Drosophila melanogaster: one gene and its partner. The protein of the gene in region 1 interacts with the protein of each later gene in a pairwise test. Each region holds a gene or a part of one and is shown on either strand. Other genes may lie near its edges. The genes, in order: CG13384 and Pde9.

Region 1 (6,812 bases):
CTTGTTAGGTAAGCGGCAACTTTAGAAGGCTTCATGCACTCACACTTCGCCTATTTTGTCCCAGGAAGTTATAATCTTCCATTGGTATTTGAGGGCCTGATCCTCTGTTATGACCACCGCGTCCCTGGGCAGTTCGTCGGGCTTGGCGCGTGATAATGCCATTTTTCATTAATTTATCAAAATATTTGGTTCTCAGAAAACAGCTGCTTATGGGTCAGTGTTGTATAAGTCCCGAACCGGTGTGAGAATGTTGAATACAGTGGGTATCGGAAAAAGGTCTCGGAAAGTAACGCGAAATTTACAGATGATGACATATCAGTGCTGTTAAATGGTCAAATCAGTGTTGCGTGCTGTTTTATATCAGAGGCGAATTGAAGTGTACTACCATAATTCTTGCGAGTCTGCTTAAAATGCCTCACAAACGTAGGAACCGAGTACATGCGAACCAAAGGAATTTCACAGCGCGACGCGTTTCTGTGGCCAAACTGTCGTCTGCACCGCCGAATGTGCTCGTCGAATCCTGCAACGGTTCTCATGCGGATAACAGTTCGCCGGACAGTCCGAAAGCCAAAGAAGGTGCAATGACCAACGGGAAAAACCCGGAGATCAAGTTAGCCGTGCCCAAATGCAACACCACCGTGCGCAAGCAGAACGAGGCCCATATCATATCCAACATTAAGCTGGATATGAACCTTAATAAGGATTCTAACTTTATCGCCCCACAGGTTAATTAAGGTTTTCAATTATGTATACTGTTTTATAATAACATATTCTGTAACTACCCCAAAGATCACCAAAAAGATGAACTTCGCTCCGAATCGTGTTGTATTCGGGGTCCTGGTGCCTCTCAATGTCAACGATTCTGTGCTGGTGCCGCACAATAGAAAACCGGATGCCTTAAAGCACACATCGAAAGAATCGGAATCATGCAAGGCCATAAGCGAGCCCCAGCTAGCCGACTATGCGGAGAAAGTAGATCCCATGATCATGGCTGTTAAGGAACCAGTACTCCACTTGGATTGGGAACCAGGACCCTTCGATTTTTTCGGCGCATATAGGAGAACATACAATTAGAGTTACATTTTATTTATAAATATATCCGAGAATATCAGAATGTTTGTAGCTTTGTTAACCGATGAAGTTCATGACCACCAGATGAAGGATCACATGAGCGAAGATGAAGTCGGCGAAACCGCGTTCCGGCGAAATGCCGGCAAACACGCTCTTGTTCTGGGGATTGGCCTGCAGGCGTAGGCACACTGCCAGGACGAAACAGCTGACGGTGCTGATGAAACCAGATAGGAAGGAGTTGAACGGGAAGGTTCCAACCAGGCAGCAGTAAACAAACTGGATGATGCCGGTGAGCAGAATGTAGCCGAGGTAGATGTCCACCAGCTTCAGTTTCTTGGGCGTATTCTGCACGTAGTCGTTGTAGAACTTGGAAATGACGCTCGACAGCTCCACCATTTTGCTATTTTATGTGATATTTGTCCGGATATTTAAGGATAAAGGCGCTTTTTAACAAATTAATCGCAGACACGTCACAAATTGGGAGAGAACTCAAAAGTAGGACCGTTCGTCTAGTTTGAAAATAATACTGATAGCTTTATCGATGAAGGCGCAAGTACAGTGGGCACTCAATACCTTGAAGTTTAATAAAGAATAGGTTTATATATTAAAAAATTTTTGTGTTTTAGTTAAAACTAAAACATAACAAATCTTATAGATTAATGACCGCTATCGATTCTTTTTTAATGTTGCATATGTTTGAGAGGTAATGTTATAATTTAATTTATATAAAAAGAAACACAAATTCTTTTTCTAACCCGTTAATAAAGTTTTCTATCCGATTTTCACTGTACCGCCAAATCAGCGAATTAATCGATAGATACGGAAAGTCATCCTCGATTGTTGTGTCTTGCTTTGCTTCTTCAGTGCTTGTTTTGGGGTGAGAGGCAATTGTTATTGCGAGTTGAGTTCGAAGAAATTAGTAACGTATGTATTTAAAACACCACAAAAGGGTATGATGTGCGTTGCAACGTTACAATAAACATTTGCTATCCAATGTGCAACAGTGATGCAGCGTGTTATCAAACTTCTTTTATATGAACACAACATGATTCATTGCTGATGTTTTCTCTGTTCGATTCGCAGACTGGGAGAAGATAATTGCCATAGCCTCCTCCCACCACGCACCCCAAACTCAGCAATAAATGAACTTTATAATTTGATTGGCTCTTCGCATTGATAAACCAGCGTTGTGACCTTCGCAGGAGCACCCATTTCATTGTCAGTGTCAAGCGGGAAAAAATCAATGGAGGACCTGACACCTTTGACCAACCTTCAACAGGTAGAGCAGAGCCAGACACATCTGGTCATCAAATTGCGCATGCTGAATGGGTTTATTTTGATTTCGTATCCGTACATCTGTTAATTATGTTTTTGTTTCAGTTTTAGTTTCAACATTATCATTTTTCCAACTGCCCAAAAGACGCGTTCCTACAACTCAACCATCTCCAGTTGAGATACATCTAATTTCCGATACAGTCAGTGTAAGTGAAAAAGATATAGTTATGTATCTTTGTAATGTCGCACCTTGTTGTGCAAGTCTGTGATGCAAGATAAAACGAAAATAAGTTCGTAATGCTTTGTTTGATTTCTTTATGGCTCTCAAATAAAGATTTCTTGACATAAGTCGGCTGCTTGTCTGGATTTAGGTAGACTTTACGATTTAAGCACTATTAATTCCTCGCTAAATAAATAGCACACATTCTATGACCATGTAGCACTTATATGTAGGTCTTCTAAAAGCAAGCACACTGGAATTATTAAATCTATTTTTTAAAGCTAGTGTTAAAGTAAGAAAAGCATGATTACTTGTCAAAATGGCAATATAACCAGAATACTGCATGCATGATACATAAATATGCAAATGATATCAACGCTAGAATGATTCGAACCTATGTATCATTTATGTATTATGTATATCTCTCATTATAATTTGTATTTGTTAAGTTAACACTTTGATTTCACGTTTATTTGCGAAAACTTTCTTCTCGCCTTATATGTTCATTCAAGAAATTTATCAGTAGTATTAAATATCACAATAATGCAACTTGAGTAATTCCGTTTGCTGACTCAAGTCAATAATCTGAATATAATGGGTGGATATTTGATTCACCGTCTGGATACACATTATATAATTGTGATTTATGGTATGCTCGCTGGCTTCGCAGGAGATATGCGGGTCTTATCTCTACGTATGGATTGTTTTTCGCGACTTGTTGGTGTTTTCGACTTTAAAGCTATACTCTAGTGGGAGACGAACTCGTCAATATGATATCGACTTCCGAAGCACGCGTAATCAGACCCATATGCAAAGTAATGAAATGATCACATTAATCGTACTTTGAGTCAAGTCCAAGGCTAACTTGGACTATCAGCATGGTCGAAATTTTCCACTCTACTCCGCCCGGCACGCGATCACTGTCCACTATGCAACGCACTATCTGCACCTCCTATTGTTATAAGCGTGGAAAACTGAGTCAGCGGAAAATTTCCGAGGCGAAAAGCGGGCGTCTCAAGTTGCACTCTTAGTTTGTTTCGTGCAGCCGGAGAGGGCGCATCATAAAATCCAACGCTCTTAGTTACTTACCTACCCCTGTTTCCAGATTCCCGAGGGAGCGCCGCGCAAGAAAAAGATGACGGAACGACAGCCGTTGCTCCTCCAGAGCGATGCCTCTGACTACGAGGGCAGTCGAGGATCGGCAGCACGACCCGTGCGCAGCTCTCCGCCGGACAACACTCTCGTCAACGTGCACAGCGAGGACAGCTTAGCAGGTGAGTTTGTGACCAGGTCAAAATATGTTATTACAAAGTAAATTGAGGTATGACGAGAAACTTATAATTTTTTCGCTTTTTTCTGTGAGTGCACGCAGCAGCCTCTGGATCGGGAGATGATGAAATTGGATCGACGGATAAGTCCTATAACCCCACCCATCATCGCGACCTGGAGCATCCGACGTCCAACTTCGATACCCTGGTTCATCTGCTGAAGGGCAACATTGGTACGGGCATTCTGGCAATGCCGGATGCCTTTAAGAACGCCGGACTTTATGTGGGACTCTTTGGCACAATGATCATGGGAGCCATCTGCACTCACTGCATGCACATGCTGGTCAACTGCTCCCACGAGCTGTGCCGGAGATTCCAGCAGCCATCGTTAGATTTCTCGGAGGTGGCATACTGCAGTTTTGAGTCGGGACCTTTGGGACTAAGACGATACTCCATGTTGGCTCGACGAATTGTTACCACGTTCTTGTTTATCACGCAAATCGGTTTCTGCTGCGTCTACTTCCTCTTTGTGGCGTTGAATATCAAGGACGTTATGGATCACTACTACAAGATGCCTGTGCAGATTTACCTGCTTATAATGCTTGGACCCATGATCCTGTTGAATCTGGTGCGGAATCTGAAGTATTTGACACCCGTTTCGCTGGTTGCCGCCCTGCTCACAGTTGCCGGACTGGCCATTACATTCTCGTACATGCTGGTGGATCTGCCGGATGTGCACACGGTCAAGCCGGTGGCCACTTGGGCGACGTTGCCTCTATATTTTGGAACCGCCATCTACGCGTTCGAGGGAATTGGTGTTGTCCTGCCCTTGGAGAACAATATGCGCACACCCGAGGACTTTGGCGGCACCACAGGTGTCCTCAACACGGGCATGGTGATCGTGGCCTGCTTGTACACAGCTGTCGGGTTCTTCGGCTACCTGAAGTACGGCGAACACGTGGAGGGCAGCATTACCCTAAATCTGCCGCAGGGCGACACGTAAGTCCTTAAACTTTCCATTGCTAATCGGTTTTAGTTGTAAGACAGAGGGATTTAATATTTCTCATGCTGATATACATAATCTACATGCTCTTGCTATTTGAAAAGCGCTATTCGAAATATTGATAGTTCAGATAGTTAAGATCGTTATTAACTTTACTGTCTAAATAATTTTAAATTACATGATAATAAAGCTAGCAAAAGGTGTTATAACAATTTTTAATGATATTCCCAGACTGCAATACTAATATTTTAATTGTCTTCCTCTTTACATATTTAGACTTTCCCAGTTGGTGCGGATTTCAATGGCGGTGGCCATCTTCCTCTCGTATACGCTTCAGTTTTATGTGCCTGTGAACATCGTGGAGCCCTTTGTGCGAAGTCATTTCGATACAACGAGGGCCAAGGATTTGTCAGCAACTGTGCTGCGAGTTGTTCTGGTCACTTTTACCTGTACGCATAGATAGTCAATATTTAAAATGTTCCAATTATCATCGTATTTTATTTCACAGTCCTGCTGGCCACCTGCATTCCCAATCTAGGCTCCATTATCTCGCTGGTAGGAGCCGTCAGCAGCTCAGCTTTGGCCCTAATTGCACCACCCATAATTGAAGTTATTACATTTTACAACGTTGGCTATGGACGCTTCAATTGGATGCTATGGAAGGACGTTTTAATCCTGATCTTTGGACTCTGTGGCTTTGTGTTTGGCACCTGGGCCAGCTTAGCTCAAATCCTGAACGACAGAACCCACTGAGTTTAATCGAAATAAGCGAATCGAAAACAGAACCTGGCTAGTTCTGCCTACAAATGTGTGCGAATTTATGACGAAGGCTTTATGTAGTTACACTCAGACTACGAATATGTTTACCATTAGTTGTTTACCATTTCCCAACTGGTATCGGTCCAGTCCAGTGGCGGTGCTTTAGTGTGATTAATTTATATTTATGGCAAATTAGTTGCATTTTTTTTTGTTGTTATCAGCCAGCTGCAATCGTACCAGACAATAACTAGCATTTTAAGTAGAAAGTTTTTCAACATTTGTTCAGTTTGTCAGTTGGAGATTATTTCTGTGTTAACTCGATGACCGCACAATGCCAAACGTGATTTTACGTAGTATTCTTAACTAAATTATTATTTAGCTTTTACTATGTAGTCTAGGTCGGGGCAGATCATTCCAAAGCAACTGCTAAGAATTTCCCAAAAACCGAAATTAGCTAATGTTATCTGCATACTTTTATCGTTCGATTATTTGTAATTATACAACTATAAATACATATATATGTATACCCCTAGCCGTACTGGTCCCGAAATGGGACCTTCGATAAAGTTTTGTAAATACATCAATTCGGTGTATCAACAAATGTTCTTTAATAGTTCAATCGGTAACAAAGACAATAATTAATATAATGTTTATAAAAATCAGTACAATTGATGTTATTTAGTATTCCTACCACAGGGCTTGAATGGTCACTGGGAATGGGATTCCATTGGAATTAGCCACTCTCAATGGACTCGATGAGAGCAGAATCAGTCCTTGAGCTCGTGGACCGTTCCTAATCTGCTTGGTCAGGCGAGCGGGTGCCTGCTGGACAGGCTGAACTTCCTCTGCATCCGGATCGGGTGTAAAGTCTTGCGGCTCCTCATCGCTGGGTAGCTGCTCAACTGCATCGGTAGGCGGTGGGCCGTAGGTCAGATCCGGTGGTCCATATGTCTGATCCGGAACTCCTTCCTCGAATGGCACCTCCGGCTTCAGTTCGTCGGCGGATGGATAGGGTGCTGCCTGCTGTTTCTGAAGTTGCTTTGCCAGCCGTGCTGGCTGAGCTGAAACCGCTCCAAGTGCCAGGACCAGAACCAGCAAGGAACAGGATGACTTCACGTAGCTGCGCATATTGGCTTTGACGCAAGAGATACACGAACTTATGAGGGAACCGTTGTTGATTGATTGATAACTTTGCTGTTCATTACCTGTCTTTTTA
Region 2 (4,979 bases), on another chromosome or scaffold:
ATCTGCTTAGAAACAGGTGCTGCGATTGCCGACTACTTCCCCAACGAATCTGCCCAAATTTGGAGTATCTTATCTGCCATCGCATTCCACACAGCCACTTGGCGAACGATCGCTTTTTTTGGGGAGGAAAAGACTTGAGACTTAAGAACTGGGAACTGAGATTTCAGATATGTGAAGCATTCGGCACGTGGGTGACCGGCAAATGCGGAAGCGGCACTTGACGAAGGCCATATATATGCGTTCGTAAAAGTATCTGAAACTGAATCTGAATTTCAATCTCAATCTGAATCTCAATCTCGATCTGAATGTGGATCAGTCAGTATCTGTATCTGTAGCGGTGCGCATCTGCAGTGCCTCATAATCATTCAAGTGGGTGTCTTCAACATGAATGAAATGGAATTGGAATTGGAATTGGAAGAGCAGCACAGTGGGGCCACAAAAAAATCTCGTTTAGTCACTTTGCGAAAAGCACAAAACAGAACCGCACAGAACAGCACCGACACAAATGCAGATACAAATGTGGATGTATCTTCGCAACAGCATCAGTATCTGAATCTGTATCTGTATCTGTAACTGTGTGCCTGCAGAGCAATCGAATCAAGAGACAAACTGGGTAATTGGTTCATTATGTAGTAGAAGCCAACGACATCCGCTCGTTAATGTAAATTACACAATAGTTTCGAATCATTCCTGTTTTTTTTTTTCGTCTGCACTTAATTTTTCATTCCACTTTTCTTCAGCCACTTGTTGGCGAGAAAAACCTATGAAAAGGTGTGTATTTTTTAAAATCGATAAATATTTGCAATATCGAAATTATCGAAGATTATCATTTCTCTTTCTATTGTGAATAAACACTATAAATATAATATGAAATTGTGGAAAGCTTAAGAGACTAGAGCGATAAGCGGTAGACATAAACAATTAGATCAATAGGATGTCATATTACCCAAAAATATTTCAAATTCGGTAGACATAAGCAATAACGATAACATCAAATTTCCTCAGAAACCGAAACCTCGCGGATTTTGCTTACTAAGAAGATACATATTCTACATATGTATGAAAACCAACAAGTGAGCGAAATGCGAAGGGGTTCCAAATTTATTTGTCTAGTGATCAAAAATTTTCCCGGAGGTCTAAACCCATAATTTCCCCTCCATAATCCCGCCCGATGTAAACACAGTCTGGAAACTTTCCATTAGTCCGGGGGATCGGAGATAACAGCGAAATAATGCGCAGAGATCGCAGAAAATTGGAAATATAATAGGGATTTCGATTTTGATTTATTCATATATCTTTGTTATTTTTTTTTTTTTATTGTTTGCTTGGAAACAATGGAAACTTTGGATGAGGTTCTACTGTAGTCTAAATTTATTAAACAATTATTGGACATTTTTGTGCTGTCTGTTCTGTATTTTATTTATTATTGTGCCCCCCTAAAGAAAAGAGAGTCCAGTGATCGCGAAAGAGAGGCGACGAAAGAGACGCTGATGAAGAGAGGGAGGGAGAGCGGGCTGATAAAGCAACAGGAGCAACAACAACAGCAAACAAATACAATGCGAATTATCAGTGGACTGCGTGATATGATTATCAAAAGGTTCCCCATTGCTGTTGTTGCTGCAGCGGCTGCTGGCAACGGCATTTCTCAGCATATATATATATATGTATATGTACCAAGAAATATATATATTTATATAGGTATGTACATACACATATAGCCAACACACGCACATTCCAATACATGCGAACTTGGAACACTTTATTCATCCAATCCATATATAACTAAGACGTTTCCAACGTGCTTTGATAGCGCCAAAAAAAAAAAAAAAACAGACAACAAACAACACATTTTTCAAGAAATATGTAAACACCTGGTGATGAAAGAATGCTAACTGAAATTTATGCTAAATAAATGTCAATGGGAAAAAGTAGAAGTAACTAAAACTAGCTAATTAATGATTATTCCAAGCAAATACCACGATCAACTATCTATTGTTTAGTTTGGTTGAAAGTAGTTTAGTAGATTTTGAAAACTGTCACATTAAATCAACAGAGCTGGGAAAGTTCTTATCAAATTTTTGCTTCCTAGGATGAGAGTTGGATGTAATACCATCTATATAGTGTCTTGTTTAATTAGTAAGCACTATCAGCTCCTAAGAAATTCGTTATCTTAACATTTTTTCCATATTTTCCAGTATTTGTTCGTTTTTCCACGATAAATCTGCTGCATTTAGAACTGAGGCACAAACTTAAAAGCTAACCATAAAACAAATCACATTTAAAATAATGCCTGCTTTCAATATTCCACATTCTTAGTGCATATATAAATCCTTCATGTTCTTATCTGAGAGTAATGTTACGCTAGAAATGATCTTGAAGTTAGATTTTCCTAATTCTCACACCGATTAAAGATTACCAAAGCAAACTTTAATACCCGATAATTTGATATGTAAACTTTCGATAAATCACATTTAGCGAGTGATATTTTCGATAGATGTATGCTCGGTTCGATAACAGTGCCCGGTATGCTGGGGGTTATTAACCCCAGAAATCCCCGTTTGGCTGCGCCACTGTGCACACACACACACACACCCACTGAAAGCGAGCAACTCCCACAGTTCACTTTCATTGATAAACTCGGCTCTTCGCTCTTCTTCTTCCCCCATGCAAATCCAATTGTCTGCTACTTACTTTATTTATTTTTTATTTTTTTTTCCTTCGTGGTGTGTGTGACATCAATCAGCATCACATCGTTGTTGTTGCTGCTGCTGTTTTATTTATTTATTTCTTTTTTTCTCTGTTGCTCGACAATTGAAGCTAACCAACATTAAACTATAACTTCCTCACAAGCACACTGAACGCACACACACGCACAAGCTGCACGATCTTGCACTCTCAACAAAAACCAAAAAAATAAAAAAAATAACGAATTTCATACACTTTTTATCACGCCGATTGTAGTAAAATATTAATTAAAAAACAGGTGGCGCGCACAAGTACATTTGAGATAAACGCGGGCTTACAGATATTCAAATAAATGCAATTTATAGAACGATTTCTTAGTTTATAAAACAAAAATAAAGAGAAAAACAACCGTTTTTTTTGTAACCGTTGCAGTTCGATCACTTGCACTTTTTCACTCAATTAAGCTAGCATTTGAGCACCGGCAGCACATTTCCTGTGTCATTCCCGTTATTTTGGCAACTAATTCGGTTTGTTGATTAAAAGCGATCGCGATAAGCGTACGCCGTTTGTAAAGTTTGTAAACCAACTGAAAATTAACCGTAATCCGCGCGCGCAGCCTTCGCGAAATGAAACGCGACGGTTTGCAGTGTGACCGGCTAGCCGATCGGCGGGAAATGCGCTTTCGCTATCAGTGTGACCGTGCAGCTCGCTGCTAACTGCCTGTTAAGCAGCAATGTTAGCTAACAGTGCGCTTGAATAAAAAAAAAACTGTTGCTTATTTTGAATTTTTTGTTTATTATTACTTTAAATGAGCTAAACAATTGGCAAACAAACACTAATAGATTTTGGGCGGATTGTGCAGCATGCGCAACATTTTGCCGTACCAGGTCTTCGCCTCGGGCGGCACAACCACCGGCAGCTCGAGCAATTCGCCGCGGGAGAACTTGACGGTCCGATAGGAACGACGCTGCCAGGCCTTGGCCTTCACCCAGACGGGCCTGCCGGGATGCTCCTCGGCGCGATTGCTATCGGCATGCCCGGCGCCAGACGTGCCGAGGCTACCGATTTTGCGGGACATAACCGATGGCCTTGAGAAGCCCAGCGGTGCCAGGCCGAGCTCCAGATCCCGGACGCGGGCCAACAGACTTCGCGTTGAGCCCAGGCACATCTCGTGGGCCACCGTCATCTCGTCGAGTGCCTGCCGCTTGATCTCTGCATACTCCAAGCGAGACTGCGTGCGCTCGAGTATCTTCTTGTAGGCCTCCTTCAGGTGGCGACCCATCTTGAAGAGCTCACGCCAGCTGGCGTACAAGTCACGCGCGTAGCGATAGCGCTGCAGGCACTTGCCCGCCTCCAGTTGCTTGGTCAGGTGGAAGGAGAGGACGCGCTCGTGGTCCTGCCGACACCCGACCAGCTCCTTCGTCTGCCGTTGGAACAGACGATCCAGTGCCGAGATGCGTGCTCTGCCCAGTTCCGAGCAGCGAACGAGATCCGCCAGTTGCCTGCGAATGCGCAGGTTATTCCATTGCAGTTCTCGCAAGGCCGCCTCCCTGCTACCGTGCATGATCATCCAGCGCGAGTCCTCCGGTTCCAGGCCCTTGGCCAACGCCTCCTGTTCCTCCTCCCAACACGATCTGCCGCCGTCGCGCTCGTGAAAATCGATGGCCAACTGGGCCTGTATTTCGTCCAGCGTTCGATTCATGGCGCCAATCTCACGCTTCATTTGCGGCCAGGCTATCTCCTCGATTTGCTCCGGCGACTGCTCCTCCAACTCCTCGCTCCCATCGGATACGGATCCGTCGATGTCCGAGACGCAATCATGGTGAAACAACTCGTTCTTCCTCTTCATGCTTTGGGTCTTCACAAATGTCTTCATGTTTTTTGCATTAGATACAATGTATATATATTTTTTTTGTGTAGTGTTTTATTGTTGGGGTTTTTAACTAAAATGTGTGTGTGTGTGTGTTAGCTGTTGGGGATTGCTCAAAACCTACTTGTTTCCAATTCAATTGACAACTAACCCTGACCCAGTCAGTTAAGGATAAACACGTTAGTTGGGAAATTAACATATGTAATCTTGCAGCGAATCGCATTTACAAATTAAGCGCACTTATGGTTTACAACTGGGATTGGATTGGACAAAAAAAAAAAAAAAGAAAATGGTCAAGGGAAGAGGGGTGAGCTGTGCTCACTAGTCCTTGAACTTCCCCAGAACGATGTCCTTGTAGAAGGGCACGCAATTCATGCGCACATTCAGACGCGCGCACAGCAGGAAAATGCCCGATAGCTTGCGA

What was found.
Region 2: the proteins of CG13384 (region 1) and Pde9 interact in a two-hybrid assay, tested with the Drosophila melanogaster proteins (one large-scale study listed by BioGRID).

Annotation. Positions count from the first base shown.
Region 1 is NT_033779.5:8,382,546-8,389,357, forward strand, and holds CG13384 (uncharacterized protein), read left to right. Parts: upstream 1-1,909; 5' UTR 1,910-1,995; exon of another isoform or gene 1,996-2,154; 5' UTR 2,155-2,314; coding exon 2,315-2,350; exon of another isoform or gene 2,351-2,552; intron 2,553-3,593; exon of another isoform or gene 3,594-3,671; coding exon 3,672-3,840; intron 3,841-3,929; coding exon of another isoform or gene 3,930-3,941; coding exon 3,942-4,833; intron 4,834-5,113; coding exon 5,114-5,286; intron 5,287-5,345; coding exon 5,346-5,590; 3' UTR 5,591-6,259; downstream 6,260-6,812. Other genes in the region: CG13392 (uncharacterized protein), read right to left, coding at 44-162; Rcd4 (reduction in Cnn dots 4), read left to right, coding at 411-725, 790-1,074; Dad1 (defender against apoptotic cell death 1), read right to left, coding at 1,129-1,467; CG42819 (uncharacterized protein), read right to left, coding at 6,284-6,724.
Region 2 is NC_004354.4:12,894,027-12,899,005, forward strand, and holds the start of Pde9 (phosphodiesterase 9), read right to left. Parts: upstream 3,302-4,979; 5' UTR 2,692-3,301; intron 1-2,691. Other genes in the region: CG32650 (uncharacterized protein), read right to left, coding at 3,521-4,561; Coq8 (coenzyme Q8), read right to left, coding at 4,877-4,979. UniProt on the Drosophila melanogaster protein: Specifically hydrolyzes the second messenger cGMP, which is a key regulator of many important physiological processes.